3 linked regions of the Caenorhabditis elegans genome follow. The protein of the gene in region 1 purifies or fractionates together with the protein of each later gene. This does not show direct contact. Each region holds a gene or a part of one and is shown on either strand. Other genes may lie near its edges. The genes, in order: mog-1, ddx-23 and syf-1.

The links.
Region 2: the proteins of mog-1 (region 1) and ddx-23 fractionate together in Caenorhabditis elegans (co-fractionation; one large-scale study listed by BioGRID). This does not show direct contact.
Region 3: the proteins of mog-1 (region 1) and syf-1 fractionate together in Caenorhabditis elegans (co-fractionation; one large-scale study listed by BioGRID). This does not show direct contact.

Annotation. Positions count from the first base shown.
Region 1 is NC_003281.10:9,949,854-9,958,107, forward strand, and holds mog-1 (putative pre-mRNA-splicing factor ATP-dependent RNA helicase mog-1), read right to left. Parts: upstream 6,363-8,254; 5' UTR 6,360-6,362; coding exon 6,244-6,359; intron 6,187-6,243; coding exon 6,073-6,186; intron 6,030-6,072; coding exon 4,721-6,029; intron 4,647-4,720; coding exon 3,819-4,646; intron 3,649-3,818; coding exon 3,107-3,648; intron 3,050-3,106; coding exon 2,878-3,049; intron 2,650-2,877; coding exon 2,335-2,649; 3' UTR 2,207-2,334; downstream 1-2,206. Other genes in the region: K03H1.13 (GDP-fucose pyrophosphorylase domain-containing protein), read right to left, coding at 44-165, 208-426; K03H1.11 (F-box domain-containing protein), read right to left, coding at 1,059-1,382, 1,431-1,726, 1,840-2,110; alx-1 (Apoptosis-linked gene 2-interacting protein X 1), read left to right, coding at 7,505-7,719, 7,770-8,254. UniProt on the Caenorhabditis elegans protein: Probable ATP-binding RNA helicase involved in pre-mRNA splicing.
Region 2 is NC_003281.10:5,847,626-5,855,971, reverse strand, and holds ddx-23 (putative ATP-dependent RNA helicase DDX23), read left to right. Parts: upstream 1-2,702; 5' UTR 2,703-2,708; coding exon 2,709-2,780; intron 2,781-2,853; coding exon 2,854-4,431; intron 4,432-4,852; coding exon 4,853-5,108; intron 5,109-5,782; coding exon 5,783-5,869; intron 5,870-6,164; coding exon 6,165-6,241; intron 6,242-6,905; coding exon 6,906-7,028; 3' UTR 7,029-7,134; downstream 7,135-8,346. Other genes in the region: cct-6 (T-complex protein 1 subunit zeta), read left to right, coding at 290-426, 478-541, 590-724, 773-945, 999-1,714, 1,761-2,155.
Region 3 is NC_003279.8:3,875,123-3,882,949, reverse strand, and holds syf-1 (Pre-mRNA-splicing factor SYF1), read right to left. Parts: upstream 5,888-7,827; 5' UTR 5,885-5,887; coding exon 5,819-5,884; intron 5,772-5,818; coding exon 5,652-5,771; intron 5,607-5,651; coding exon 4,950-5,606; intron 4,903-4,949; coding exon 4,730-4,902; intron 4,342-4,729; coding exon 3,566-4,341; intron 3,512-3,565; coding exon 3,402-3,511; intron 2,932-3,401; coding exon 2,266-2,931; 3' UTR 2,207-2,265; downstream 1-2,206. Other genes in the region: C50F2.2 (CCHC-type domain-containing protein), read right to left, coding at 1-693, 745-844, 903-1,117; T03F1.12 (Protein SYS1 homolog), read left to right, coding at 6,247-6,402, 6,448-6,620, 6,668-6,785; uba-5 (Ubiquitin-like modifier-activating enzyme 5), read right to left, coding at 7,223-7,768, 7,818-7,827.

The sequences.
Region 1 (8,254 bases):
TAGATACAGATAAAGATTTTAAATAATAGTAGATATTACATACTTATAAATTTCTAATTTAGTTTCTAAAATACTTTTGCAATTTGGCAGTGTTCCAAAAGCTTTTCCATATGCTGAGAGATGAGGCATTCGTTGAGAAAGACCACCCGAATGTAATAGTAGAACCTTAAATTTATGCGAATTCCTAAAAAATATATAACTGCATACCTTAGATTTTTCCAATTTTTCATATGTCTCAGTTTCTAATAACTTTCGAATAATATTAAACGTAGCTCCACCTGAACCAATTCGAATTCCCGGGGATTCATCCGTTACAACTTCTATAGATTCAGAATAATTTTGAGTTGGAATCCTAGATAGTTGTTCATAAAATACTCGATTTTGAGAATCAGATCCTGCAGTGAGAATGAATTTTTGCCATAACATTTTAGAGGCAGCGAAGAGAGAAGAAATGACCAGAAAATCGATTGTGTTGTGTCCACGTTATTATCGGAGCTGGCATCGTGTGGTGTAATAGGAAAAGAGAATTAGACGGCAAAGGTTTGAAAAGACGGAATGAATCTAAAAAATGTGTTCATTATTACTAGTTTTTACATATTAAGAATAGACACATAGTTTTAGAATAATACAATTGAAGGTACACCAGGAATTTACAATTTTAAATACATAGTATTACACAGAATCGAAAACGTGCGATTTTAGCTCCACAAAATATTTACCAGGTCTCGAAACGAATTAAATTCAGAAAAGCGTGCGCTTTTAAGGAGGTTACTGTAGTTCACAACTCTTTTTTATAGCAGAATTTGCATTTTATTCAAACTTTGATATATTTCAAAAAGTTCTCACATGTTATTAATACATTTTAAAGATACTATAGTACCCCTTAAAGGCGCGCATGAGAAAACCAGTCGATTCGAGACCGGACACCGTATTTTCGGAGCTAAAATTACAAGTTTTCGAATTTAAGTAAACTGAACGGGTAATGTACAAATACTACAATGCTTTTTTAAGCTATGGAACTCTTTTTCTTGTTCAAAAGACCAAGAGAACATAAAATCTCAAACAAAAATTAATACACATTTCCTGCTCGAGTGGAGAGCAAGAACAGCCGGCTTATCGTAACCAAGAGGAACAACAACTGGCTTGAGACTCCATTCAGCAGATTGTGATCCAAAAAGTGGAGATCTCATAAAGTTTTGAAGTTGATTCGCATCGAATTCAGTATTGTCCATGTGCACATCAAGTTTGTCGGATAGACGAAATGCGGTCGATTCGATGAATGGAAGAGCCGATAGAGTGGTAACTCGTGGGCAGTCGGAGATCCTGAAGTACGCAAGATTCGGGCATGAACGGGAAACGCGTTGGGAGAAGTGATCTGTGATCTGAAAATTCAATTGTTATTGAGATTCCTTTAAATGTATCATATTCACCTGTGAAGTCCCTTTCAAATCAATTTGAGTAAGAGTCTGGAAAGATGCCTGAAAGCATCTGAGCAACTTTGCTTCAGTGTCACCTCCCAAATTGCATCCTTCAATCTCAACTTTCTCAAGCTTATCATAACCAGCAAGTAAAGCGAGAGTCCATGTATTTATTCGTTCCAAATCAATTTCAGATAGTGCCAGTTGCTTTAGTGGAGCATTTTTTGTCAATTGGAGCAGTTGAGCTAGCTGTTCATCAGAAATCTCGTCGCCGACTAATTCATTTTCCAATTGAAGGGAATGAATTTCTGAAAATCAAATTGGCAATTATACTCGAGAATTGAATGATTTTTTTTTAATGTTTCAATTTGTATCCAAACAGTTAGATAAAAGTAAAATAGACGAATAAGAAAATAAATACCGTTAACTATTTGTGGCATTAGAAAATGTAAAAGTTCTTGAATTTCTTCTCGATTTACTTTTGGAATATGAAGCTCAAATTCGTCTCCATCACATTTTCCATTCAATTTCTCACTTGTGATTCCAATCTTTATAGCACGGATTTTTGGAATCATATCTACGATAACTCTCATCACATCGATATTACTTAAAGCTGAATTAACAAGATCCGTAGGTTTTAACCCTTTATGGATTTCTCGGATGATTTCCAATGGCATATCACCGAGAATCATTCTGAAAATTTTGTTCTGAGTTTTTTTTGTTGTTGAAAAACATACAGTAAAAAAGGAAATGTACCGAAAGTGGGAAAAATTGAAAAAGGTAAAAATAAATATAAGGTTTATGGAATAAACTTCTGAAAATAAAATTGCAACAGAGTATATAGAAAATCGAACTGGAGTATTAACAGTGACACCCGATTACACGAGAAAATAAGACAGAGAAAGAGAGTAATTGATCAAAGACCCCACAGCTTTCTTCTCTCCGATCTGGCCGATTTCGATCCGACTTCAACAACACGCCTGGAAGATTCTGGTCGTTTGAACGCCTTGTCACTTTCTTCCTTCCGCCGTTCCATTTCTTTCTGCGCCTCTCGCATCTCTGCTTCCATCGTTTCAACCGTTCGGACACTCTCCATTTTCAGTTCTTTGCGTGATTGTTTCGATTCTTTGATCGAATAGAACATGGGTCCAAGTTCAGCAAGCCAGATTGCATCGACAGCAGTTACACATTGCATATATTCTTTGGCTGTCATAATCAATTCGTGGTACACCTTAATTTAGAATATTAATTTAAAGTTTAAAGGAATGTGTTTTTGGCGAATAATTTATTTTCCGCTTCTTTTTTTCGAAAAAGAGGATATACTGAAACATTCATAAATTTTTAAGTGTTACTTTTTTTCCAAAAATCATATTCAAAATTTAAAATAGAGTGCAATTTGGCCGAAATATTTGAAATACCGATTCAGCATTTTTTTTTCTTCAGATTCAGCCCTGCTTACCACGTAATCAGGCATGAAACCCATTCCAAAAAGAGCTGAAGTTGGATGAAGGAAGCATGGAATTCCGGTACGAACATTGACATATTCACCAATTCCTTTAAGACGAGCTGCATTGTGGAAATACGCAGAGCAAATGCATTTTCTCACAATATCCCATTCACTTCCGTTTGAGCTGAAATAATTTTATAAAATTGTAGTTCTAAGAAACTTTCAAATAAAAAAAACCTACATCAATGGAAGCTTGAGATCTTGCATAATTTCCTTCAATTGAGCACGAACTTCTCGAACCTTTTTCAAAGCTTTTACGTGTAAATAGTTGTCGGCACACCATTTTGCAGAATATTTGTGTGTTCTCCATTGAATATAGACGTTTAAGAAAGTGAGATGATCCGATTCGGGAACTTGGAACTTTTCTTTCTTGGCATCAGCTTCTTCTTCTCGTCCTTTTGGTCTGAAGAAAATTGCGGGCACTGACAACATCGAAACAATCGTCAGAACTTCATCACTGCATCCCATTTCAGCCGACATAATGAGCATTTTCGACAGAGTTGGATCTAGTGGGAATTCAACCATTTTTCGTCCCATTGGCGTGAGCTGTCCAGTGTTATCGAGAGCTCCAAGAGTCCAAAGTTGATACATTGAATTCAGCATATTGTCCTGTGGAGGTGCATCCATGAAGTGAAATTTCAAAAGATCATCCACTCCGAGAGACTTTAAAAGAAGCACTACATTGGCGAGATTGGTTCTTTGAATTTCAGGTACAGTACTCTTCTGAAAAATAAATTTGTTTTTATTTGAAACAGGGCTGAGCATATATATATATTTTTTAATATATATTTTTAAAAAATAAAATTAAAAATTTGTCGTTTTCGATATTTTTCCCATGAAATTTTTAGCATTCGTCGCTCACTCCAGATTTGTGAGATTCACCTCAAACTTACCAAAAGCTCATCTTTAAATTGTCTTTCAGTATACAAACGATAACACTGTCCTGGTCCAGTACGTCCGGCACGACCAGTTCGTTGATTCGCTGATGCTTGTGACACTGGGAAGATCGATAGAGCATCCATACCGATTCTTGGATTGTACACCTTCATCTTACAGAAACCCGGATCAATTACAAATAGAATTCCGTCGACAGTGAGCGATGTCTCTGCAATATTTGTAGCCACAATTGCTTTCCGCATTCCACCGGGTGCTCTTTGGAAAATCTTGGCTTGTAAGTCACTTGGAAGCTGGGAATAGATTGGTAGAACAGCAAGTGGAGGAGCTTCATCAAGTTCACCAAGCTTCTCTTTGATCATTTCACAAGTGCACTCAATATCTTCTTGTCCTGGCATGAAAATCAAAATATCTCCGTCCATACCACCCAGATGAATTGTAACAGCTTGTTTAACAGCAGCATCCACATAATCTTCAACAGGAGTTCTCGCATGAAACAGTTCGACTGGGAATGTTCTTCCAGGAATTGTAAAAGTGGGACAGTTTCCTCCGAAAAAGTCTGCAAACTTATCAGCATCCATAGTAGCAGAAGTAACGATTAGCTTCAGATCAGCTCGTTTTGCAATCACTTCTCTGAGCAAACCAAAGAGTACATCTGTATTGAGTGAACGTTCGTGAGCTTCGTCCATAATAATTGCTGAATATTGATCAAGACTTCCATCACCAAGACATTCACGAAGCAGAATACCATCTGTCATGTACTTGATTATTGTTTTTTCTGATGTACAATCTTCGAATCGAATCGCGTAACCAACGTCTTGTCCTAGCTGTAAAAATTAAAATAAAATTGTTTTCTTAAAACAGTGGTGAAATACATAATTATCTCAAAAATGAAACTAACATCCACTCCCATTTCATCAGCTACACGTCTAGCAACACTCATTGCAGCGACACGTCTCGGCTGAGTACATCCGATGAGTCCCGAATCACCAAATCCATCTTCAAGTAGGTATTGTGCCAACTGAGTTGTTTTTCCTGATCCTGTTTCTCCGACGATGATAACCACATTATTCTCACGAATCACATTCATCATCTTCTGCCGACACGCAAATACAGGCAAATACTCTCTTTGCTGCTTGATAGACTTTTCCATCGCAAAATCCGAAACTGCTTCATTATCTTTCATGTGAGATGCAAATTGATGAGATTCTTTGTAATTTCCAGAATCATCGTCTTCTGGATCAGCAGTTTCATCTTTTTTCTCTTTAACACCCATCAAATTTCCGAGTTTTGATCCTGCCAACTCCCAATGCTTATCTTGAGCCTTCTTCCTATCTTCAACTTCTCTCCGTTTTCGTACTGCAACACTTCCTCTTGCTGCTGAAACAGCCATATCACATGTTGTATCAACAACCGGAATGATTGGTTGTGCTTGTTTAGTGAAAACAATTCGACCATCAAGGAATGGAGGAACAATGTTTTGAACGAGAATTGTGACACGATTCTCATCAGTTTCATCTTCAAAAATACTTGATAATTCATCAGCCATCGCGACGACTCCTGATCTATGCAGTCGATTGTTCTCCCATAACTCATTCTCTCTTTTGATCGCCTGCTGCTTCACTGTAAGTCTCGGCTTCTGAGTTTTCTCCTGCCATTGCTTTTCTCGTTTTTCCACAAATTCGTCAGAAACCTTATTGAATGGATTATACTCATCATCAAATGCTCCTTCATTATCATACCATTCTCTGTCCAAATTCTTCTGTTCCTCTTCCCATTGAGCTCTCTCTTCGTCATCATGAAATGTGGGCTCTGCTTTTTCTTCTTTAACACTTCGTACCGAATCTTCTGGTTTTCGATGTCTCCGTCTCTTCTCATCATCTCTATTCCTTCTTTCACTTCTCCATGCACTTGAAATGCTTCGTTCCGAATCCATATATCGTTTTCTGTCTCTTTCACCCCGCGGAGTCGGCATATCCCAACTATTTCGTTTTCTGGAAGATCCTTCACGATCATCTTGATCCCAGCTCATTCTGGATGGTGTATCGGGAACTTTAAAGCGAGGAGTCTGATCTCCACTTCGATCTTTCCAACCTCTTCTACTACTCGGCTCTCTTCGTTCTGATCTGTCACGGTCTCGTCTGCGATCATCATCCCGACTTTTGTATTTCATTCCACGGTCGTCACGATCTCGATGCTTCTCATGAACTCTGAAATCATCAATTTACTTCGCTAATTTAATGTTTGAATCACTTTTCAATTCCTTTTCGAACCGATTCCGTGACACCTCGATCGTCATCATCCTCAAGACGTTTTCTGGCGTGTTCCCGCTTTGTAGACGCCAATCTATCGAGCCCAAGCAAGCTTCTGCAATTTAAATTGTTTTTATTTGAAGAAAATTAAAGTATATATTTAGTTACTCACTTCCCGGATGGTTCGGTTGGTTTTGAATCTCCCTCTACTTTTTTCTTTTTAATAACCAATCCACCAAATGTGTCACTGGTTCCTTCGAGGCGGCCATCTGCCCGTTTATCCGACATTTACTAAAAAATAAAGAATTTAAGAAAAACTAATTTAATTTCGAAAAGGAAATCGAAAATAAATAAAAAATAAATAAAAAATGAGAGAGCGAGAGAGAACGCATTATGAAAAGAGACTCAGACTTTTGTGTCTCGATAGAGCGCTCTTTCATAAAAACATTTTTCGCGAATTTTTTGTTTTTTCTTCAATTTTCTCAACACTCTTTCTCTCTTGTTGCATCTTTTTCTTTTCTTTTCTCTCATTAAAGGTTTCCCGGAGGTCTCTTCAAACAAAAAATAGCCTATAAATCAGTAGAAAATCACAATCTACTTCAATGCCACCAGTTTTCACTATTGAATCCGAATTTTTGATGTTCTTCAAATTTCCCTCTGTATCATCAACCACCGATACCCACTTAAACGGTTCAATTTCTATAGATTTGTTTGTTAACTCAAGCGCTTGAGAACCCCGGAAGCAACAGATCGGAGAGCTGAAGTGTTGAAAGTTGTTTCGAGAGAGTGGATTGCTTAGGCCCTAGCTTAAAATAAACTCAATATATTTAGAATTCAAATTGTTATTTCATATCAAATCATACGTTTACTAATTTTGAAATCTATTGATTTTCTTTTTTTCTCACCTCAATTCTATTTGCAACCCGAATTGCGAAATCGAGAGGGGCGGTCACCATGCCGGCAGCATCGATGACTCATCACTCGTATCACGAACGTTATTTGCATTCTAATGTCTGAAATGACGTTTTTCCCTTCTTGTTGAATGATTAGGAGTGTGAATCGATGTGATGAACTTACTTTCTATTACATTTTTCTTGTCCTTCATTAACGAGAAGCTTCGTATTTTCCTATTGCTCACCTCAAATTAAGGATGGAGTGAATTGGCTGGGGATTTTGCGTTAAATTATAGAAAATTGACCCTGCTAACTGAATATAACTGTAAAAATTAAACTTTTACTAAAACTAAACTTTATTTTTGAATTCTCGTAACATCTTCGTGTTTTTTTTGCTAAATTCATTGGTTTTCTTGATTAATGTTTCACATTTTAATTGAAACACAGTTTGTCAAAATTTCAGAAAAATTCTTTAAAGAGAATCTTTCTATTTTATTTTTTTTATTTCTCACTTCAAATTAGTATTAATTTTCTTTCAGAATGGCTACATTCGGCTTTCTCAGCGCACCGCTGAAATCGACTAATGAAGTGGATCTTGTGAAGCCACTTACAAGCTATATCGACAATGTCTACAATACATCCGATAATAACCGCTCAGATGTCGCCGAAGCTGTTCAGGAACTTAATAAACTCCGTTCAAAAGCTTGCTGTCAGCCTCTCGACAAGCATCAAAGTGCTCTCGATGTTTTGACTAGGTAATAAATTTAAAAAAAAAGAATATCTTTGAAATAATTGTTTTTTACAGATATTATGATCAACTCGTTGCCATTGAAAACAAAATTATAATCTCTGCAACTCAAAATCCAGTTGTTTTCAAATGGAAGGATGCATTCGACAAAGGAAGCCTCTTCTCAAGCAGAGCATCCTTATCCCTGTCTGACGGATCCTTTGAACGTGCTGCCGTTCTGTTCAATATCGGATCGTTGATGTCTCAAATCGGAGCTGCTCAACAATTCCATACCGATGATGAAATTAAAGTATCTGCAAAACTATTCCAACAATCTGCTGGAGTATTCGCCCGTCTTCGTGATGTTGTTCTCGGAATGGTTCAACAGGAACCAACTCCTGATCTCATGCCAGATACACTTGCTGCTCTTTCTGCATTAATGACTGCTCAGGCACAAGAGGCGATCTATATTAAAGGCCACAAGGATAAGATGAAGGCTACATCAATGGTCAAAATATCTGCTCAAGTTGCCGAATTTTACTCGGAAGCACAAAAAATGATGT
Region 2 (8,346 bases), 4.1 Mb from region 1:
AGACCCAGTTGCGAAATTGTGTGCGCCTTTAGAAGCGAATTTATTTTCTAGAATAAATTCAAACGAGAATCATTGTTTTTCAAGGATTTCTGTTGAAAGTCTTTATTTTTTATTTAAAAAGTTATGTAATAATACATTTTAGAACCTTTTTGAATTGTAATATGCTCTCGAACCTTTTTATGCGTGTCTATTTTCCTCTTGAATCGTTTTCCAATCTCATTTCTCCGTTTTTTAGTTTTTGTTGGTTTTACTGAGATATTTCATAGTTGAATTCTTGTTTTCAGGTAGTATGTCGTCAATCCAGTGCCTGAACCCGAAAGCTGAGTTAGCTAGGCATGCTGCCGCTCTCGAGCTTAATATTAGTGGAGCTCGTGGACTTCAAGACGTCATGAGATCGAACCTCGGACCAAAGGGAACTCTCAAGATGTGAGAATAAACTGATCAAATGTATAATTGAGACTATAATCACATTTTCAGGCTCGTATCTGGAGCTGGGGATATCAAATTGACGAAGGATGGAAATGTCTTGCTTCACGAAATGGTTTGATCGTTTTGTTCAGATTCAGCGTTTAGCACTATTTAATTTCAGGCGATTCAACATCCAACAGCCTCAATGATTGCCAAGGCTTCGACGGCACAAGACGACGTGACTGGAGATGGAACCACATCCACCGTTCTCCTTATCGGAGAGCTCTTGAAACAAGCCGAATCTCTAGTTCTCGAGGTGATCAATTTCCAAAGTTTAACTTTAAACATTTATTTAAAATTTTAGGGTCTTCATCCACGTATTGTTACTGAAGGCTTCGAGTGGGCTAACACAAAAACCCTCGAGTTGCTTGAAAAGTTCAAGAAAGAGGCTCCCGTTGAGCGTGACCTCCTTGTAGAGGTGTGCCGCACTGCTCTTCGTACCAAACTTCATCAGAAACTTGCTGATCACATCACCGAGTAAGAAACAAACAATTAAAAAGTAGTAAAAAACATTATCTTCTTAATTTCAGATGCGTTGTCGACGCCGTTTTGGCAATCCGTCGTGATGGAGAGGAACCAGATCTTCATATGGTTGAAAAGATGGAAATGCACCACGACAGTGATATGGATACCACACTTGTTCGTGGATTAGTTCTCGATCATGGAGCTCGTCACCCAGATATGCCAAGACACGTTAAAGACGCTTACATTCTCACTTGCAACGTTTCTTTGGAATACGAGAAGACTGAAGTCAACTCGGGACTTTTCTACAAGACCGCCAAGGAACGTGAGGCACTTCTCGCTGCCGAACGTGAATTCATTACTCGTCGTGTTCACAAGATTATTGAGTTGAAGAAGAAGGTTATTGATAATTCTCCAGATGGTAAGAATAAGGGATTCGTTGTTATCAACCAGAAAGGAATCGATCCTCCATCTCTTGACTTGCTTGCTTCCGAAGGAATTCTTGCTCTTCGTCGTGCCAAGAGACGTAACATGGAACGTCTTCAGCTGGCCGTCGGAGGAGAAGCCGTCAACTCAGTTGATGATTTGACTCCAGAGGATCTTGGATGGGCTGGACTCGTTTACGAGCATTCCCTTGGAGAAGAGAAATACACGTTTATCGAGGAATGCCGTGCTCCAAAATCTGTGACTCTTCTTATCAAGGGACCAAACAAGCATACCATCACTCAAATCAAGGATGCTATTCATGATGGACTTCGTGCTGTTTTCAACACCATCGTTGACAGTGAGTTTAAATTTTATTAACTTCTGTTCTAGTAACCTATTTTCAGAGGCTGTTCTCCCTGGAGCTGCTGCTTTCGAAATTGCTGCCTACGTGATGTTGAAAAAAGATGTTGAGAACCTGAAGGGACGTGCCAAGCTCGGAGCTGAAGCGTTTGCTCAAGCTCTTCTCGTTATTCCAAAGACACTGGCCGTAAATGGAGGATATGATGCTCAGGAAACACTTGTTAAGCTTATTGAGGAGAAAACCGCCGCTGGACCAGATATCGCCGTTGGACTCGATCTCGAAACCGGAGGAGCTGTCGAGCCACAAGGAATTTGGGACAATGTGACGGTGAAGAAGAACAGTATCTCGTCGGCGACAGTACTTGCATGCAATCTCTTGCTTGTTGATGAAGTGATGCGCGCTGGTATGACCAACTTGAAGCAGCCACAACCAGAATAAATATTAAAATTGTTTTTCTATTCCCCCCAGTGTGTCCGTTTCTATGATCTGTTGCCGTGTTTGATAATATTCCCCATCCCGTTCAACAAGCCCAACTTTACCGTTTGTTTTTATAGCTTTCTTCGAGCGATAATCAACAAAGATCGATCTGTTTTCTTTTTCTTTATTATCCCCCAATTTCTTAAATTTTCATCAAAATTTATTGCTTTTCATTTGAGAATTTGTTGATTTTTTCATGCACGTTCCTTTTTGATTTTGCGCAATAAAGGCTTCTTGCTTTTAATATTATTATGATTGGTTTCCGGTTGTGTATGTGCGCGAAGCTTTATTTCTATAGAAAATTAATATGATATTCGGAGAATTGACATTTTCGAATGTCCCGCTAAGAGAGCGCGGCCTAACAAATACCACCTCGGTCGCGTGTATTATATACGAAAAGGGTGAATGCATTTCTGTAGGTTTATGTTAAAAATTGGTTTTTTTACATTTTCCCATTGTAAAAGCATATTTTTAATTAGTTTTCCAAACATTTAAGTTCTTAAATTCCAGAGAAATGGCTGCTGAACCTCCATCACTTGAGGAACTTCTGGAAAAGAAGAAAAGAGAAGAAGATGAATTGGCAAAGGTATGTATTATTTTTTAATATCTCAAAAAACATCGCATATTTTTTAAAAACCAAACCATTTTCAAATTTTCAGCCAAAATTTCTGTCAAAAGCCGAGCGGGCCGCATTGGCTCTGAAACGAAGAGAAGAGGAGGTCGCAAAACTGCGTGAAACACAAAAACAAGCTGAAGAAGCTCGAAAAAATTGGGGACGCACCGAAAAAACATCAGACGATAGAAGAGATCGTGGACTTGACCGAGGCAATGATCGTGACAGAGACCGTGAACGGGAACGTGATCGTGATCGTCGACGGGATCGTCGGGAGAGAAGTGGTTCTCGAGATAGACGACGAAGGAGCAGGAGCCGTGATCGTGATGGTGGAAGGCGTCGAGATAGAAGTAGAAGTAGAGATAGAAGGGATCGAAATGATGATCGGAAAAGAGATAGAAACGAGGATAGTGATAATGAAGAAGATGTTAGTAAAATGGCAGATGCTGTTAAAGACAGATATCTTGGAAAACAGAAGGAAAAGAAGAAAAGAGGACGGAGACTTCATGAGAAAAAGTTTGTTTTTGATTGGGATGCTGGAGAGGATACATCACAGGATTATAACAAATTATATCAAAGTCGACATGAAATTCAGTTCTTTGGAAGAGGATCTGTTGCTGGAACGGATGTGAATGCTCAGAAAAAAGAGAAGAACTCGTTCTACCAGGAAATGATGGAAAATCGAAGAACTGTTGATGAGAAAGAGCAAGAGATGCATCGCCTTGAAAAAGAACTGAAAAAAGAAAAGAAAGTGGCTCATGATGATCGTCATTGGAGAATGAAAGAACTTTCTGAGATGTCTGACAGAGATTGGCGTATCTTCCGTGAAGATTTCAATATTTCTATTAAAGGAGGCAGAGTTCCACGACCTCTTCGTAATTGGGAAGAAGCTGGATTTCCAGATGAAGTCTACCAAGCTGTCAAAGAAATTGGTTATCTGGAACCTACACCTATTCAGAGACAAGCCATCCCAATTGGTCTTCAGAATCGTGACGTAATCGGTGTAGCTGAAACTGGATCAGGAAAAACTGCAGCTTTCCTTCTACCGCTGCTTGTATGGATCACAAGCCTTCCAAAAATGGAACGACAAGAACATCGGGACTTGGGTCCATATGCTATTATTATGGCTCCAACAAGAGAATTGGCTCAGCAGATTGAAGAGGAAACCAACAAGTTCGGAAAGCTTCTCGGTATCAAGACCGTTTCAGTAATCGGAGGAGCCAGCAGAGAAGATCAAGGAATGAAGCTTCGAATGGGTGTTGAAGTGGTCATTGCAACACCAGGTCGTCTTCTCGATGTTCTGGAAAATCGATATCTTCTCCTGAATCAGTGTACCTATGTGATCCTTGACGAAGCTGATCGAATGCTTGACATGGGATTTGAACCAGATGTTCAGAAGGTTCTGGAGTACATGCCAGATACAAATATGAAGAAAGATACGGATGAATTCGATAATGAAGAAGCTTTGATGAAGGGATTCTCAACAAGAGAGAAATATCGACAAACTGTCATGTTCACAGCTACAATGTCTTCAGCTATCGAAAGACTTGCCAGACAATATCTCAGAAGACCAGCAGTTGTACATATTGGATCTGCTGGAAAGCCTACAGAAAGAGTTGAACAGGTAATTTATTTTATTCTTGGTAGAAAAGAAAAATAATTATGAGAATCGTTTTTCATATTTCGACATTAAGCTGAACTAGAAAAATTACTAGAACTAAGGCAGCTTCCTAAAGTAGCTTCATAAAAGTTGTTAACTAAAATTTGCTAAAAACTAATTAAGAACACCCAAAAAATTGTTTTTTAACTGAAAAAAGTGAAAAATTGTTTGGTTTTTTGTTGGTTTTCTAAAAAATAAAATCAAAAAATTAATTTTTCGTCAAATTACCAAAAAATGCCAAAAAAAAGTCCCATCTCTGGATTGAAACCACGCAGAAAGGGGGAATTCTGTTTTCAGTGTCTTTTTTCAGAGGCTAGTATTTTTTAGTAAGAAATTTCAAAAAAATTTCAAGTTTTTTAAAAATTCCAAAATATTTCGTATTCAGGTAGTCTACATGGTTCCAGAGGATCGTAAACGTAAGAAGCTCGTCGAAGTGCTCGAATCACAATTCCAACCACCGATTATTATTTTTGTCAATCAGAAGAAAGGTGCTGATATGCTCTCAAAAGGTCTTACCAAACTTGGTTTCAAGCCAACAGTTCTTCACGGAGGAAAAGGTCAAGATCAAAGAGAATACGCTCTGCAGGCTCTTAAAGAAGGAACGAGTGATATTCTTGTGGCTACTGATGTTGCTGGAAGAGGTTCGTTTTTTTTTTTGGAAAAAAATTGTTGATTCAAATACTTTTTTCAAGTATATATATACCGTATATTCTCTATTAGAGCGGCGTATCTAATAGTACGGCGTATCTATTAGAGCGGCACCCTAACTGGCTCTTCGAAAATTAGAGCGGCAGTCTCTATTAGTGTGGCACCCCTTTTTTTGGGTGCGAGAGCCACCTCAATTATTCGATTTCTTCGAAGATATTTTTGTTCATTCTTGAATGAATTCATAAATTTTCATTTAAATATTGAATTTTAGTGTCTTTGTGAGGCAAAATTACACAATTTTCACGAATTTTTCCATAAAATATGAGGTTTTATAAGGAAATTTTGAGGTTACTACTCCCAACAGTAGTAACTTCAATATGAAAATTAGTTATCGAAAATTAGTGCGGCAGTATCCAGTAGAACGGCAGTCTCTAATAGAGCGCACGTCGCGAAGGGCCCGGAAATTAGTGCGGCATGCCGCTCTAATAGAGAATATACGGTATATAACGTTTCTTGAAAGTTTCAAACTCTTCTGAATGAAAACCCAAAAATTTGAGATTCCCCTATTTAAAAAAAAAACTAATTGAAGAGGTTTGATTCGAAATGTAACTAAAAAATTATAAATTCAAAGTTTTGAAAATCAAAATAATATCCACTTAATTTTCAGGTATCGACGTCAAAGATGTATCACTGGTACTCAACTACGATATGGCAAAATCAATTGAAGACTATACTCACAGAATTGGTAGAACTGGTATGTTTTTATTCACTTTTTCTGTGGAAATTTTTTGATGAAGTGTAATTTTCTGTTTTGGGAAAATATGAGATTCTTGAGGACATCATTTTTTTAAAATTTATCTCCACATAGTATGATTTATTACAACGGAAAAAAGATAAAGAACAGCGGAGCAGTAAGAAATTATTTAAAGAAAATTTTAAAAAATGAAAAAAAATGCGTAGAAGTTTTCATAAATTTTGAAGCTACTAGCATCTGAAAACTTCCACACTTTTCTTCTTGATCACATATAATAATTTCTTTTAAATTTCAGGTCGAGCTGGTAAACATGGAAAAGCAATCACATTCCTCACACCTGACGATACTGCCGTCTATTTCGACTTGAAGCAGGTAAAAATTGTGACGGAAACCGGACACCAAAAATGATATTGGACCTAAAAATCAAAAAATTTTTGTTTTGATTTTAGGTCGAAAAATAAAAATTGAAATTTGCGAAAAATTAAAGAAGAAACTAAACAAGAAAAACGAAAAATTGAGGACTTTAGTTTAATTTTTATTTTTAAAGAACAATGAAAAAATGAAAATTTTTTAAAGATAAAAAATCCAACAAAAAAAATTTAATTTTTTGTCCAAATATCAACAAAAAAGAAAAGATTTGCATTCGGTTTTCTGAAAGATAATCGATGAAATAAGTAGTTAAAAATGAAAACATCAGTTAATCGTTTCATAAAATATTTAAAAAAAATATTTTAAGCGTTCTTGAACAATTTAGAAAAAAAAAATCCACTTTTGGGTTACTGTAGTTACTGCAAGCGAATTAAAATTACAATGAAAAAAAGAAACAACTCCGAAAAAAATTTATTCGAATAAGGTTAATTCGATGAGATGCCCTTTAATTAAGTCGTTAATGAATGTTTTGAATTTAATTTTCAAAATTTCCGTCTAATTCCAAGATAATCGTTTTTGAAAGTTTTTTTTTTCAAAAGTTTCAAAAGAAAATGTATCACTCAATAAATACTTTTAATAAAAATATTTTAACTCGTATTTTTTCCAGGTTCTGGTCGAATCGCCAGTGTCATCATGCCCACCTGAACTTGCGAATCATCCGGATGCACAGAGTAAGCCTGGAGTGTTTACATCAAAGAAACGACAAGATGAAACATTGTTCTTGAAGTGATAATTCTCTTTTTTGTTTGGAAAATCTCAACATTTATATTTATTTATTCAATTTTTATATGATTGTTCTACCAGATCTGTTAAATAAATACTCCTGACCCCATCATTCCGTTCAAATTTCATTATTAATTCCAGAATAGGAAAATGATCATGAAAAGTTGCTCTCTGTCGGATTTCCAAGAGCACATTATTCGGAGAATGTGTGTTTTAAAGCTAGTCTCGTGGAAAAATTCAAATTAAATGAATTCTCATGTTAGGAAGCAAAATAATTAATTTTTCGATTTTAAGAAACGAAATTGAAAGTTTAAAAATCTGAAATATTTCACTCCACACTGATCATAATTTTTTTAAAATAAAATAAAATAGTATTTTGAAATACGTTTTACTAGTTATTGTGAAAAAAGGAAAACTGAAAATAAATAAATAAATCTTTAAAGGTTGGGTACATGTTAGATAATTATAAAAATAAGAAGTTCGTCGACGTGTTCGAATCGTTTTTCCAAAAAACCTTCGCCAAGGAATAAAACCTAACAAAATCATAATGTTGTCAAAAAAAATGGGCCGACATGCTCTCAAAAGGTCTCGTAAACCTGAAGATCAAATCCACGGTTTTTCACGGAGGAAAGACTCACTGGGGAACCGTCAGAAGGTGCCCATCAAACTAGCATATGAGATTCGATAGCCCATGTCTTAAAACGGTTACTCGAGAATTTTTAGCGGTGAAGCTCCAGAACCAAACTCACGGCGGGCTCTCAAAGATCCTGAAAATAGCACTTTAACGAAGCATTGAAGGGCCTACTTTCCAATTTCACTTTGGTAGCTCATATCTCCGCGGATAAATTTTTTACAGAAAAGTCATCAACTAAAAAGTTGTTGATATTGTTGTAAAGAACAAGTTTGTAGTTGAAAGTTTTTTATCAAAAACATTTTTGCTTGAGATAAAAGCGCGTGAAGTGCGGCAACTGTTGCTGTTATTTTTAAGCTGTTGCTATTCTAATGCTTTTATCTCAAACAAAATGTTTTTTGGTAAAAAACTTTCAGCTACAAACTTTTACTTTCCAACAATATCAACAACTTTTTAGTTGATGACTTTTCTGTAAAAAATTTATCCGCGGAGATATTTTAGGATATTTGAAAGCCCGCCGCGAGCTTAGCTCTGGAGTTTTACTGCTAAACATTCACGGGTAACCGTTTTAAGACCTGGGCGTTCGAATGACAAAGATCTCATATGCAAGTCCGATGGACACCTTCTGACGGTTCCCTAGTCAGGAACAGGGAGAATCCGCCTTTAAAGATCTAGGCTTTAAAAGGTTAGATGG
Region 3 (7,827 bases), on another chromosome or scaffold:
TGGTCGTTTTGGGTGCGGAGTGAGATCGGCAGGCTTTTTCTGACTTGGTTGCTTGGAATTAACTATTGGGTTCGTTGGAGAAGACTTTGTGCGAACTTCAGTCTTCTTCTCCTGGATCTTGGATGCAACCGGTTTCTGAGATTCCGAATTTCTAGAAGCCGATGGTCTTGGGTGCGGAGTGATATCAACAGGCTTCTGTTCCCGAACCTTGGAAGCTACGGCGTCCGGCGCCTGGGGTGCCGGCATCCTCGGAAACTGAACGCGTTGCGAAATTGGCGCTTTCTTTGCGATCTTAGACCGTTCATCAATCTCTTCTTTTGATTGTCGATTCAGCTTCCGCTTCTTATTCGAAATAATATCCTTATCAGATTGATCTTTTCCCCGTCCAATTGGAGACTTGGAACGACGTTTCAGGTGATCTTGTACTTTTTGAGTCACAGGTTTTCTCTTCTCCAGCACCACAGCTTTCTGATCTTCCTGTTGCCGTTTCTCTTCTCTCTTCTTCTCAACAAGCTCTGGCAGCAGGCTCCCGGACTCCTTCAGAGATTTCTCTGGACAATTCGTAGCTTTTTTCACATTCATTACAGTTGGCATTCCGTCATTATTTGTCTCCAGCTGATTCAGGTAGAGCCACATTTCAAGATCTTCCAAATTGCCGAATTCCAATTCGACGCAGTTTCGAGCTCGCATTTTCTGAAATTTAATTGAATTTGATTTTTTTTGAGAATAGCTTGGATTAAAAACCTTCATAGCTCGAGGTCTCATTGGACACTGACGATCCTTGAAATGATGTGTACAATTGGGACATATCACGACGCCGCCGGATGAGGTGGCGTGCTTCAGTCTGAATTTTTTTCGAATTTTAGATTTTTTGAAAAGTGAAAAAAAAAAAACTGTCTCACTTTGTTTTCAACTCTTCATTTTCTTTTTTCAATCGTTCTATTTGACTTCTAGACCCTATTAGAAGCTGTCGGAAAAGAGCTGTTGTAGGAGGTGCGGACGAGGTGGATGGCTGATCTTCGGGAACTTTTGCAGGCTTTTTAATGGAAGACGTTGATGGTGCTGGAGCATAAAATTCGCCTAGAGCCATCGTGTAGAGATCATTAACGTCTTCCATTTTTATTTACAATTTATCTGAAAAAAATAATCCTTTGCGAAAAGCTGATTGAAGCAGTGATTTTTTATAAAAATTGTCATTTAAAATTTGAAACTGTCACAACATTTTAATTTTTTTTTGCCGTTTTTTTACAGAGAAAATCGAATTTTTGTCGAAAAGTTAGAAACAAATAGGTTAAAGTGAGAAAGCACTTGAAAAACGTTATTGAAAAAAAACATTATTGTAAATAACTATTTATTAAAAAACCATCAGATCATGACAATGTCTACCGTTTTGACGCGCGAAATTAAAATATCTTTTCGCCACATTTTCTCTCACCTGTTGCGGCATATTTTCGCGCCAGAAAGTAGGCATTAGGGGTGGGCATTCTTGATTGATTGATTTCTTGAATTTCTTGATTTCTTGACAGTTTGTCAAGAATTCTTGTTTCTTGATTTCTTGATAAATTGTGTCAAGAAATCAAGAAATTTTTAACTCGAAATTTAGGCTGAAAAGTGGGTTTTTCAATTTTCCGAGAAATTATTTTATTATTTTTGCCATTTTCAGAATATAATAACTCAAAAAACACCATAAAACACAATTTCAGTTGGAAGAGCGAGGTTTGCAGAAAGGAATTCAAAAAGATTGAAAACGTTAACGTTCTTGTCGAAAAATTATTATTTTTGCACTTTTTGTCCATTTTCAAAGTTTCTTTTGTTCATATTCTTTAAAAAATAGGTTAAGACTGATAAATTTAACTATTTCTTTCAATTTCGCTTAAAAATAATATCCGTAGAAAATTTCTTGATTTCTTGACTTTTAAAATCAAGAATTCTTGACTGATTGATTTCTTGACTTTGTAAAAGTTTGCCCACCCTTGGTAGGCATTCTCATGAACTGATGGTATCGTAATACCTTCGAAGAATGAGAAAATACTAACGTTTTTTTGAAAAATTCTTAGTGATTAATCATGATTTCAGACAATTTTTATATTTCCTAAAAAAATTAAAAACACAATTTTTAAAAAAAGTATTACACACAGTGTTAGACAACACAACAACCAAGGAAAACATCACAAAAAAATTGGAAAATTGGAAAATTTGTAACATAAAATAAATAATTTATTTTTCAAGATCCTGAACAACAAATAAAATAAAAAATAATGAAAATCAAGCTTCTTCCTCCTCTTCGGCGAGCTTCAAATTTCCAAAAATCTGAGCTGGAACAACTTTGACTGAAATATCAGCATCTCCACCATCATCTTCCTCATCATCGTCGTCTTCATCCAAATCAATTTCATCAGGATTCTCTGTAGTATTCTGTTGTACCGTTTTACCGGCTCCACGTACAAATGAAATATTTCCTTTGTTCATTGAGACCTGAGTAATTGATCCTGCTCCATCCGAAGGTTGCTGCTGTTGCTGATCCAATGAATCCATCGGATTCGACGAAGTCGTAGTCTCCTGTGCCTTTCGTTCAGCATCCACACGCATTTGTACAGATGTCAGTGTGACATTCACGTTGTATGACGCTTCGACTGATCTACGAACACGAAGCATGTCACGAACAGTTGCCTCGTTTCCATGAGCAACTTCAAAGTTTTTCCACGTATCCCAGAACTTTACATGAACTTTTGGATCGGAAATCTCGGCGGCGTGCGCGTAGATCGCTCGGGCTCGGTCAATCTCTCCGACCGTCGTCTCGAGCTGAGCATACCGCAAGCTCATTGCTCGAGACTTATCCTCTGGCAATTCGGAAATCGCTCGTTCAAAGATGGGCCGGCACTGCGCGATTCCATACATTTCCTGGACCTTTTTGATGTAGATATTGTACATCTAAAATGACAATTTTGAAGAATTTGCGGGTTTTATCGGGTTTTATCGTGATTTTTCGTTTGAAAAATTGAATTTCGCGAAATTTTGTTGTTTTGAAGTGTTTTTAACTATAATTTTTGCGTCGTTTTGTTCAATTAAATCCAATTTTTGTCAATTTTCAGCAAGAATTTACAACATTTGGTCTCAGGAAGCTATAGATATATTAAAAATAAAACATTTATATTCCAAAAATTTTTGCGTCTTTAGCAGGAATATTGGATTTTCGTATAGTTTTTTTCGAATAAAAAGCTACACTATGCGCAATTTCGACTGAAAATTTCGAATTTTGTGCCTTTTTCTTTGCAGAAAGCTATGATTTTCCTATTTCCAGGTATTTTTGAGCTCTAAAGCGCTGAAAATTCAGGATTTTTTAATTTAAAATTGAGCTTTCAACATTTTTCAATATTTTACAAAAAAAAAATTGTGCTTACCGAGTGCATATCGGCACGGTCAACTCCTGAGCAGGCTCTGTTGTATATGGAAAGAGCATGCCTGGCGAGTCCGTGCTCTTCTTCCAGTTTGGCATAGAGTAAGAAAATATCTAAAATAAATTTGGTATTGTTTGATTTATTTCAACTTTTTCAAAAGTTCTTACATTTCGCATGGGTTGGTGGGCAGTTTTCCAGACATTGCTCAAACAAATCACGTGCTCTTTCCAGCTTCTTTCCACCGTATCTTTTAATGAATTTGACCAAATATGTATTCCAAATATCAAAAACTCCGGGCCACTTGAACAGAGCAATTCCCTTCTCGTAGGCTTGGAATGCCAGCTCGAAATACTCATTCTCCTCCAAAAACATTGCGTAATTCATAATCATCTGTGGAGAAGCTACACGAAGCTCGATCATCTTATCATAAACTTTCCGACAAGACTCAACAGTTCCACAACATTCCTCATAATCCGCGTACATTGCCCATAGAATCGGACTTCTGTGAACTCTTGCTTGAACTGATTGCATATTCTCGTAATCTCCTGGCTTCGGAACAACACATGCTCGTTGCATAACTGTCAGTGCAGCTTTTGCTCTTTTATGCTTCATTTCCATTTCGGCATACGCACACCACACATTTGCAAGTTCACTGACACCTCCGAATTGTGAGATCACAGCGGTCTCGAACGTCTTACGAGCAGCATCCAAGTCACCATTATCCTCATACAACTTGGCAAGACCGATCCAGAGATCACGAACTTTTCCGACTTGAATTTTGGGATTTACAGATTTTACGGCTTCCTTGAATGTCTCAATTTGCTTGTTGTAATTTCCTTCGTAGATATTCACTCGGTTGAGCCATTCTCCAACATTATGTGGATTCTGCCGGAGAAGTACACTGTTCATTAGTTCATTCTTTCTTTCCATCAAATGTTGATATCTGGAATTTCAAGAGGGTTTTACAAATTTATAGTTAAACGATTTGAAGGTAAAGGTAAAGGTAAAGGCTTTACAAAGAGATTTTGCAAAAATTGCTCAACACATTTTTTTCAAAAAGGGCTTCTTATCGGTGCTAAATTTCGAAAAAAAGGCCAATTTTAGCTAAAATCTCCAATTTTTTCCAACTTTTCCGTGCCCGGTCATTGATTTTTTTTAAATTTTAATATACCTTAGCGTTAGATAAACTGCACAAATAAAATAAAAAATACGAATAATCTGACATTAATCAAGTAAATGTCATGTTACGACCGCTGCGACACGGAAAAGTTGGCGAAATTGGTGATTATAGCTGAACTTAGGTCATTTTTTTGAATTTTTGACATACAAACCTCTGGAACATCCACTCAAGATCAACTTCTTCTTCCGGATCACCACTTTGTTCCACTTCTTGCATCATAATCGACACTTCTCGTTCTTCAAAAGCTGCATAAGCATCATAAACTTGAGCGAAATCTCGTACAGTTGACACTTTAGCAATAGCCTCCTCATACACGTCTCGAGCCTGAAATCAAATTTGTGCTCAGAAAAAAAACACTTTTTCAAATTTACTCTTTCGAACTCTGCGCTACGAATGTAATAGTCGGCTAGTGAGCACCACAAAAATCCAACTTGATCCGTGTACCGATAGATTCCTTGACGAATAATTGCGTCGACGTTCAGCGAGAAGATCTTTACTGGATTCTTTGAGATCAAATCACACAGCTGAGTCCACAGTTGATGTGCAGTTCTTCCTTTTTCCGAAACATTCTGATCTTGATTTACTAGAGTTGTCAATTCTTTTGCTGCCTCGTCGATTTGATCTCTTTCAATAAGATACTCAACGTAATCCTCACGAGCTTTCGGATTCATCTTCAAATATCTTCTGTAGACACGAATTGTAGTTTCTGGCAGATCGTGACTTGTCAGAAAGCCGATATACAATGTCCAGATACGCATGTGCTGGGTGACTGGAAGAGAACGGAGAGCTCGATCGAAAACTCGTCTGGTCTCTGTGATGAGGCCTCTTTTGATCATCACTTCGCAGTAACAAATCCAAATACGTGGCATCTTGTGTAATCTCATGAGACATCTCTCATAAGTGTCACAGAGTGCTCTCCAGGAGTTGTCTGTTGGGCATTTGTTGACAATTGTGCTTTCTCTGTATTTCAGATAATGATACCAAAGTTTGTAGCTTCTTTCGAAAACTGCAAGTGCACGTTCGTAGATCTGAAATTAAAAAATGTTTTTTGAAGAAAATTAAATGAAAATTACCAAAAACATCTGCTTGGCAGGAGATTTGTTCTGCAATTTGTGATCGATATATCTCTGCCAACAATTTACTGACGTGGGATTTCTAATGATATCCTCTTCAAACGGAACATCTTCGGAAGACTGAAAATTGCATTATTGTTTCCTGTTCTGATTGTTTCTTCACTTACGATCCCTTTCATCGTCTCAGAGTTCGGCATTTTTTCAATTTTTGTTGCATTTTCTTTGTCGGCCATTATCTGGAAAGATAAAAATATAACAAATTAAAAGTAATCCGAGCTTTAAATATTAAAAAGAATATGAATAAAATTTAATTTTCGAAAAATGCGGGAGATTTTTGATCGTCGGTTCTGGTGTATGCAGACCGAAAGAGTACGCAATTGTGGACCGTAGTCTGGTGTGGAAATACGCGTTGGCTTTTCAGGAAAAAAGATTTTATCGAAAAAAAACGTTGTGATTTCACATGTGAATTGTTTTTGTTCAATTTTAATTATTAATCTTAATTATTGAAATTTTGTAATCATGTACTTCGAATGTGTTTTTCTACAAAACATTGATAAATTCTCGGTTTCCCTGTGCAAGTATCCGAATTTTCAGAATGTCGTCGTTTCGGCAGTTTGTCTGGGATCCAGTGCTCCTCGTCAGTCAAATGACGTGTCTTCAGACATTTTTCTACGCTACTCAAACTTCAGTAATGCTGTTCTGCAGCTTTTTCGGCTACGAACCTCTCATTTCCTCTATTTTCTCAATACAGGTTTGGATTTTCCCAGTCTATTTAATTTTAAAATTATTATTTCAGACACAACGATCAATGGCATTAATTCAATTAGTTTCCGCCGTCGGAGTCTCATTCGCACTGTCGCATTTAGTGCAACGTGCGAAACAATGCCTGGATTTTGCCTGTACAGTGCACTTTTTCCATTTAATATTTACCACTATTTACAACCATGCTCTTCCAACCCAATTTACATGGTTAGGATTTAATTATAAAACTTTTGAAATTCAAATTCCTTTTTAAGGTGGATTCTTCAAGTAATATCGACAACAGTTTGCACGGTTCTTGGAGAATATCTGTGCATGCGAATCGAATCGCAGGAAATAAAATTGGAAGGTGGTCCTTCTCGCTACGATCTTTAATATAATCAGAGAAGCATATTTAAATTATTCAGCTCATTTTGCGGGTGTTTGATTCGATTATTAAATAGACAGTTCCTGTAAATTATCAATTAATTCGGTGTAAATAAACTGATGTTTCTTCTTCTTTCTTCTCTTGTAAATTAGGAGCATGAGAAAGTCAGAAGAAAGTAAATAATAAAGATTTTATGAATAAAATAGAAAACAGGGAGTTCAATCACAGATGATGTGTAATATGCAATACAAGGGGATAGTGAGCGAAGGGGGGACAGAATACAGGAAAAATAGAAGCTAAAAACCCAAAATTGGCTCCTAAAAAAAAGAAGGGGATTGACAATAAATTATTTAGCGAGTGTGATGGAAGGCGAGAGACTAGCTTATAAAAGCAATTTTAATATTGACAAGAATATGGGAAAAATCTATATTTTGATTTTTGGCAATTATTTTCCTTTGTTCTGGGCTTCCTCGACGAGTTTATCCTTGATCGATTTCATAAAATCATGGGTTGCAGCTTGAGCCGGCGACAATTCAGTCTGGGCATCTCTCTTGATTGGTTCATAAGCAAACTTGAGCCCGGTTCCAGCATTCAAGCTTGAAGATTGTTCTGCAGATGGCTCCGACTCATTTACCAGCTCGATTCCCCATTCATTGTCCTCATGAACGACGGTTTCTTCTTCTGGAACTTCCACTTCAAGATCCACAGGTTGATTGGCAACCTTCTCTTCGTATTCTTTTTGTCTTTGCAGACAGTGAGAGTCGTCGCAGTATGGGTTCGGCTTGATGCTGTCACGAGGGAAAAAGTCTGATAATGCGTTGTATCCAACGTACTGGGAGACTTCTCCAAAGTTCAGAAGGTATTTCAGCGTGTTCATCACCAAAAATCCAGCAACTACAGCCATTGTTGTTGGAAGTGACGCAGCACACACTCCATCGCGTTTCAACGTACGCTCGTCAATTCCCGAAGCGACAACGAGTGGAGGAACACACTGAAAAAATGAACATTTGTTTTGATTTCAAGGATGAAACTTCACTTACAGCAAAACAC